Sus scrofa: one gene and its partner. The protein of the gene in region 1 binds, or shares a complex with, the protein of each later gene. Links are inferred from orthologs where the notes say so. Each region holds a gene or a part of one and is shown in the gene's direction. Other genes may lie near its edges.

Region 1 (3,808 bases):
TTTTTTTTTCTTTTTACAGCCACACTTGGAGCTCAGCAGTTAATGAACCTAACTAGTATCCATGAGGATGCAGGTTCGATCCCTGGCCTTGCTCAATGGGTTAAGGATCTGGCATTGCTCTGAGCTGTGGCATAGGTTGTAGACGAGGCTCAGATCCTGTGTTGCTGTGGCTGAGCTGTAGGCTGGCAGCTATAGCTCCAGTTTGACCCCTAGCCTGGGAACCACCACATGCCACTGGTGAGGCCCTGAAAAGACCAAAAAAAAAAAAAAAAAATACAGCCACACCCGTGGCATGTGGAAGTTCCCAGGCTAGGGGTTGAATTAGAGCTGCTGCTCCTGGCCTGTGCCACAGCCACAGCAACTCTGGATCCTTAAGCTGATGAGTAAGACCAGGGATCGAACATGCATCCTCATAGACGCTATGTAGGGTTCTTAACCCCCTGAGCCACAATGGAAACTCCTCTGCAGTTTTAAATATTTTTAAAATTTCTTTCCTGCCTTTTCCTGCAAAGTTAATTCCATTTCTGCTTTAGATAAATGTTTTGGGTTCTATAAAATACAATCAGGAGTTCCCATCATGGCACAGTGGTTAACGAATCTGACTAGGAACCATGAGGTTGCAGGTTCGGTCCCTGGCCTCACTCAGTGGGTTAAGGATCCAGCATTACCGTGAGCTGTGGTGTAGGTTGCAGATGCGGCTCAGATCCTGAGTTGCTGTGACTCTGGAGTAGGCCGGTGGCTACCCCTCCTATTCAACCCCTAGCCCGGGAACCTCCACATGCCGAGGGAGCAGGCCTAGAAAAGGCAAAAAGACAAAAATTAATTAATTAATTAATTAAAATACAATCAGGAAAATGCCTTATGCAATTCAAGAAATTTATCAACTAAATGCAATTAAGTTAAAATATATTTTTGTGTTGTGTTACTTATTTAACTTTTCATTTCAGAGGCCTTGTACCTTTACACAATGCGTGTTCTTACGGACATTATGAAGTTGCAGAACTTCTTGTTAAGCATGGAGCAGTAGTTAATGTCGCTGACTTATGGAAATTTACACCCTTACATGAAGCTGCAGCGAAAGGAAAATATGAAATTTGCAAACTTCTGCTCCAGGTATATTTAAGAACTTACTGTGGACAGGACGCATTTTGTAGAATATGGTATTTCAATACCTCTGATGTAAACTTAAACCAGTAAGGGGATAAGAATCAAAGTTAGCCAATTCTGTACCTAGATTTCAGAATAAATATGAATACTCTAAGCCAGGTCTTTTGTTTTGGGGAAGGTGTTTTTTTTTTTTTTTTTTTTTTTTTTGGCCCCCACAGCATATGGAGTTCCCGGGCCAGAGATCAGATCTGAGCCACAGTTGCGACCTATGCTACAGCTGCAGCAATGCCAGATCCTTTAGCCCACTGTGTCAGGCTGGGGATTGAACTGCATCTTGGCACGGCAGAGATGCTGCCAATCCTTTTGCACCACATTAGGAACTCCTGTAAGCCAGATTTTTTTTTTTTTTTAAGCACTAATGAAATCAGTAGTACACTGATAGATCTATACTGGCACCATGTAGATATTTTACAATAAAAAGAAGTGTAGTTAAATTTATACTTTGTACAAACATTGAAATATGGTTGTAAAATCTAAAAATAGCATGTGCAAAAGGTCATTTCTAATGAAATACTACCTTGTTTTGAATGTAGTTTAAAGTTTTGACTATATTATTATAATTTTTTGCTTATTAAACTAAACATGAATAACAGTCACATTAATCTTTAAGGTGGAATCTCTGTTTAAAATATGGTATGGTTACATTGACTGTTTTCTCATTGACCAAGGGCAAAATTAAGCCAGTTCCCCCCTTTATGTTTTTCACATGCCCAGCATGGGGCAGACCCCACAAAGAAAAACAGGGATGGAAATACTCCTTTGGATCTTGTTAAAGACGGAGATACAGATATCCAGGATCTACTTAGGGGAGATGCAGCTTTGTTGGATGCTGCCAAGAAGGGTTGTTTAGCCAGAGTAAAGAAGTTGTCTTCACCAGATAATGTAAATTGCCGTGATACCCAAGGCCGACATTCGACACCTTTACATTTAGCGGGTAAGTCAGTGCAGTGTCACAGACTGAGGCTGGTGACCTCTATGCTTCGTTTTACCTGAGTAAAATGCTTCCTCTAAGTAAACTTGAATGATTCAAATCAAATATCCTCTAATACCACCATTATACTCTAGTACTAGCATGTTGTATTTAGTAAGAACAGTTGAAAGAGGCTCTGCCAGTCACTGTGTTTTGGAACATTTATTCTAGGTAATCATAATATTTGAATCATCTTTGATGAGTGTGTTTTGTCTCTCTCTTTTTTTTTTTTTTTTTTTTGCTATTTCTTGAACTGCTCCCACGGCATATGGAGGTTCCCAGGCTAGGGGTCGAAAAGGAGCTGTAGCCACCAGCCTATGCCAGAGCCACAGCAGTGTGGGATCCAAGCCACATCTGTGACCCACACCACAGCTCACGGCAACACCAGATCCTTAACCCACCGAGCAAGGCCAGGGACCGAACCCGCAACCTCATGGTTCCTAGTCGGATTTGTTAGCCACTGCGCCATGATGGGAACTCCTGATGAGTGTGTTTTGCCTACAGAAACTAAAAATATGCTTGCTTGAGCTGGCCTTCCTCTTGGGAAGCTTTCCATTCTTCTGATGATAGCTGTTAGGCACAAGCCAAGACTTTTCAGAAGTTACATAAACCTCTTGCCAAAGTTATTTGTTGTATTAGTTTGTTAGGCCTGCCTTAAATTACCACAGACTAGATGGCTTAGACAACAGAAATGAATTTTCTCACAGTTCTAGAGATGTTGGCAAGGATTGGTTTCTCCTGAGGTCTCTCTTCCTGGCTTGCAGGTGACCACCTGCTCCCTGTGTCCTCACGTGGCTTTTTCTCTACATATGTGCATACTGATGTCTCTCTGTCCTAAAAATCTTCCTTTTATAAAGACAACAGTGGGTTTAGAATAGAGCTGACCCTAATAGCCTTGCTTTTAGCTTAATTACCCCTTTGAAGGCCTTACCTCCAAACACAGTCACATTCTCAGGTACTAGTGCTTAGGGCTTCAACATAGGAAATTTGCTGAATACAGTTGAGTACATGACATTTGTTCTAAGTTTTCACTCACAAAATTGTCATAGTGTATGTCTTCCTTGCAGGTAGGCGTATTGTGATTTCAGTACAACTTTTTCAGCTGCATTGACGATACTAGGGAATGAGCCATTAAAATCACTGAGCTGCAGCTAATACTTAAGTGGAGTTGCAGTATAGGCATATTTGACTCATACAAGTTTATCTAAATACACATGGTTTAAAAAGAGAAAGGGGGAGTTCCCACTGTGGCATGGTAAGTTACGGACCTGGCATTGCTGCAGCTGTGGTGTAGGTCACAGCTGAGGCTCAGATTTCATCCTTGGCTCAGGAACCTAAATGTGCTGCAGGTTCTACCCTTTTGTGAAGTGTGGGAGACTGAAGTATACGCTTCTTACAGTTCCTTTTTAGTCTCCCACTGCACCTAGTGTTTAAGAAATTGTTTTAGTATATGTGGTTTATATCTTTAAAGTATGACCCCGTGTAAGTTGGGACCCCTCTGTTCAGGGGAAAGAATTACTCCATCTATGTGTCTTTTTGAGCATTTTGGAAGTGATGAGCCACAAATACTAACAAGGTGAGAAAAAGCTTTTCTCCTTCACTGGCAATCAGGAATTTCTAGTCTGTGTAAAACAAGATGTGGCCTGACCTCTGATTTGAATTGTACTGTCC
Region 2 (3,808 bases), on another chromosome or scaffold:
AGATGGGCACACCCGCCCCAGTTGTCCAGCCCAGCAGTGCCCCTGCACAGTAGACTTGGGGATCTTAATGAGAGCCCCATGCTTGCTGTGAGTCACTTCCTTGCCAGGGCAGCCAGGGCAGCCAGGGCAGGGCCGAGGCTGACACGGAGCCCCACGAACACCCCCAGCAGGCAGGCCAGGGACCCAAGGCGTCACACAGAGTGGCATTGGTGGGCAGTGAGGGTGGCATGTCCTCGTCTCAGGGCCTTGCACGTGCTGCTCCCTGGCAGCCCCCTGGACCCGCACGCTCTGCTCGCTGTGCCCCCTTTGCCCACACGCCTTCCTTGGCCTGAGGCACCAGGCGCTCAGCCCTCAGCAGCAGATCTCCCCGTGTCCCTCGGGGCACTGCGCTGGGTGCCAAGAGCGGTGCAGAGGCAGGGGCTGTGCTTAGGCCGTCCCTGTGGGTGGGGACCGGAGGGTGACCGCCGGTCCCCTGCCCTCAGGGTGATGCGGGCGGCGGAGGAGACGACGTCCAGCAACGTCTTTCCCTTCAAGATCGTCCACATCAGCAAGAAGCACCGCACGTGGTTCTTCTCGGCCTCCTCCGAGGAGGAGCGCAAGGTGATGGGGGGCCCGGGTTGCTCCGGGTCCCGGTCCTCGTGCCCAGAGCCTGGGGGCAGTGCCCTCGGAACCCGCTGGCTCAGGAGGACCCGTCTTCCCCGACCTTGGTGCAGGGGGGGGGCGAGGTTGGGGTCCTGCCGGGGGGCCTCCTGTCCACTGAGGCCCTGACCCACCCACAGAGCTGGATGGCCATGCTGCGCAGGGAGATCGGCCACTTCCACGAGAAGAAGGAGCTGCCACTGGATGCCAGGTGGGCCTGGGGTGAGATGGTGGGCGGGGTGTCCCCTTGACAGCTGTGCTCACCTCCCTGTCCAGGGGGCTTGGCCCAGAATCTCCGCCTTGAGGGCTTTTGTGGAGGTGCCAACTGGGTGTGTGTGTGTGTGTAGAAACAGAGCATGCAAGCACGTATCCCGTCGGTAGTTCCTGTTTGGGGGTACACCGCTTTCACCTGCCCACCCAGGAAGCCAGGCATTTGCAGAAGCTGAGACCTCTGGGTTCCTAGCCCCCTGACGCCCACCCCAGCTCCCTGGGGAGTGAGGCCAGATTGGGTCCCCAGGGTGGTAGCTCAGCCTGTCCCAGCCTCGTGGTGAAGTGGCTCTGCAGGTAGCAGGGGCTCTCTGGGCGGGAAGAGCATCCATCCTGTCCTTTCAGAGATGCGGGAGCGGGGCCTGGGTAGGGCTGGCATGCTGAGCCTGCCTCACGTCCCTGGCCTCAGCCCTCTGGGCTGGGGCCAGTGGGGATGGCACCATCTGGGCAGTCAGAGGGCACACTTGTGGCAGGAACCTCAGTGGGGAGGCAGGCACCCCAGCCTCCAGCCCTCTTGTTTGTCCTTGTGTGTTTTCCTGCGTCTCGATCTTCACACGTCCACACATCTCCATGTGTTCTCGTGATTATCCGTGCGTTTGTTCACGTCGTGTGTCCAGTTGTCTGCGTGCTCGTGCCTGTGTCTGTCTGCGTCTGTGTGTCTGTGTGTCCGAGTGCTTGTGTCGTACGGGTGAGTGCTCGACGCCCCCCGCCCGGGGTTCACCGCGCCCCTCCCGCCCTCAGCGACTCCAGCTCCGACACAGACAGCTTCTACGGTGCGATCGAGCGGCCCGTGGACATCAGCCTCTCTCCACACCCCACGGACACGGAAGGTGGGCCCAGCGCACAGCCTCTGCCTCACGTCCCTCTGCACCTGGCCCTGGCGGGGGCCGGCCGGGTCCTCCCTGGGCACGACCGGCTGTCCTCCCTGCTCTGTCCCTTGGGCTTCCCCAGGCAGCCTGGGTCCTGGGGGCCCATCCTGCCCACCTCATCCTTGCCCCCTGCCTCCCGCGGGCCCTGAGTCCGGCCTCCGTCTGTCCCACAGACTACGAGCACGACGACGAGGACGACTCGTACCTGGAGCCCGACTCCCCCGAGCCCGTGCAGCCTGAGGGTAGGCAGGGGTAGGCGGGGCCAGCCACAGGCTTGGGGTAGAAGGTGGGAACCGGGGCCTGGGGCAGAGCCCCCCAGGCTGGGAGTGTCACCTGGGTGCTGCGCAGGGGGCCTCAGGTATCACCGACCCAGTTTTCCTCCTGTGGCCCGAGTCTTGGGAGGAGCAGAGCAGAAGAGGCTTAAGGCTGTGGCTCTGCTCACCTGCTCCTCTGACCTCCAGTTAGCCCAGCAGTAGCCCAGGGCGGGGGAGGGTTGCTGAGCTGGGGAGGGAGGATAGCTCTGAGTGCCTCTGGGCCGGACTGTCGCTTGGCACCCCGCCCCACCCCCACCTCCCAAAGCACTTGGCCTGGCGGGGGCCAGGCGTTGAGCGGGCATCTCATACTAATATTGGCGTGCCCTCTGTCTCGTCGCTCCCTACTCCTGCCATCCCCTCACGGTCCTGTCCCTTCCACCTCCCTGGTCCTCCTCCCCCAGCCCAGCCTCTCCTCCCTCGCCCCAGCTCCTCTCCTCCCCTCCAACCTCATATTTCCAGGGATTTCTGAATGTCCCTCCACCCTCGGCCTCCTCTCCAGTGACCTTGTCCTCCGCCCACCTCGACCCCCTCGTGGCCTCCTCTTAGCTCTGCCTCCCCTCTCGAGTCCACCCGGGGCCTCAGCTCCCACAGGCCTTCAGCCCGCCAGCCCAGCCCAGAGCCCACGCGGTGCCCTCGTCCTGGGGTCTCTGTGCCCTCACGCCCCGCTCCACCCCTTCATCTCTCTGGCCTGTGACCCCAGCCCTGGTGAAGCCCCATCTCCATCTGCCCCACCCCTCGCTGGAGGGAGCACACAGGGGCTGTCTTATCTCCGCCCTGAACCTTAGGGGCCTGGCGCTCCTGCCTGCCAGCCTGCCTGCTCCAGGCATTCGGGCTCCCCACCCAGAGTGGCTTGTTGGCGTTCCCACCTTGGTGCTCAGTGCCCGTGGGCGGCACTTGACCAGGTGCCCTCTCTCTGCCACCACCTGCCTCACCAGCACCAGGCACTGTGTGCTTCAGGTCCCCTCCCGCCTCCTGCCCAGGCCTGTGCCGCCCACGTGCCCACACACACGACCGAAGGTCCCCCTGGCTCAGGACCACAGCTAGTGTGGATGGGCTGTTGGCCCTGCTGACATTGCCAGCCGGGACCTCTCTGAGCCCTGGGCCTGGGCTTCTCCAGTCTACGCTTCCTCCCCTGGCTGGGAGGAACTTGTCACGAGCAAACCCAACTCCCATCCTCCCCGCAGCCTGCTCCGCCCCTCCTCCTCCCTCTGAGGGGACATCCAGCCTCCCCAGCGGAGGCCTGATCCTGGGGGAGCTCCTTGCCTCTTTGCTCCCTGCCTCCCGCTCCTCCCACTTGGGAGCCTGATGGCTTCGGGAAGTTCGCACAGGCTGCCGTGTGGAGGGATGGACGGGGTGGGCCAGGAAGAGGGGAAGCCGCATCCAGAGCACGGGGTATTGGGCTGTAGGGTGGCCAGGTTGCATACCCACCTGGCTCTGGCCTTCCATGGTGGGCGGAGGTGGTGCTGGCCCAGCCTCCAGCAGGTGGTGCTTGCTCACCGCATGGGTCTCTTTGCTCTCCAGATGCCCTGATCCACCCGCCGGCCTACCCCCCGCCTCCTGTGCCCACACCCAGGAAGCCAGTTTTCTCCGATGTGCCCCGTGCCCACTCCTTCACCTCCAAGGGTCCGAGCCCTCTGCTGCCACCCCCACCCCCTAAGCGCGGTCTCCCAGATGCTTGCCCGCCCCCTGAGGACTCCAAGAGGGACCTGCTGGGCCTGA

What was found.
Region 2: the proteins of TNKS2 (region 1) and SH3BP2 are in contact, whole or in part, in a crystal structure (PDB 3TWR), measured with the Homo sapiens proteins. The link is inferred for Sus scrofa from reciprocal best matches to the Homo sapiens genes TNKS2 and SH3BP2. Residues at the interface, in NP_079511.1 of Homo sapiens: Arg525, Ser527, His531, Phe532, Gly535, Tyr536, Asn537, Arg538, Leu560, Asn565, Ser568, Tyr569, His571, Asp589, Trp591, Phe593, Glu598, Lys604; in NP_001116153.1 of Homo sapiens: Leu413, Gln414, Arg415, Ser416, Pro417, Pro418, Asp419, Gly420, Gln421, Ser422, Arg424.

The regions. Positions count from the first base shown.
Region 1 is NC_010456.5:103,437,848-103,441,655, forward strand, and holds part of TNKS2 (tankyrase-2), read left to right. Parts: intron 1-947; coding exon 948-1,113; intron 1,114-1,881; coding exon 1,882-2,101; intron 2,102-3,808. UniProt on the Homo sapiens protein: Poly-ADP-ribosyltransferase involved in various processes such as Wnt signaling pathway, telomere length and vesicle trafficking.
Region 2 is NC_010450.4:1,610,989-1,614,796, forward strand, and holds part of SH3BP2 (SH3 domain-binding protein 2), read left to right. Parts: intron 1-482; coding exon 483-600; intron 601-779; coding exon 780-850; intron 851-1,647; coding exon 1,648-1,736; intron 1,737-1,948; coding exon 1,949-2,017; intron 2,018-3,610; coding exon 3,611-3,808. UniProt on the Homo sapiens protein: Binds differentially to the SH3 domains of certain proteins of signal transduction pathways. Binds to phosphatidylinositols; linking the hemopoietic tyrosine kinase fes to the cytoplasmic membrane in a phosphorylation dependent mechanism.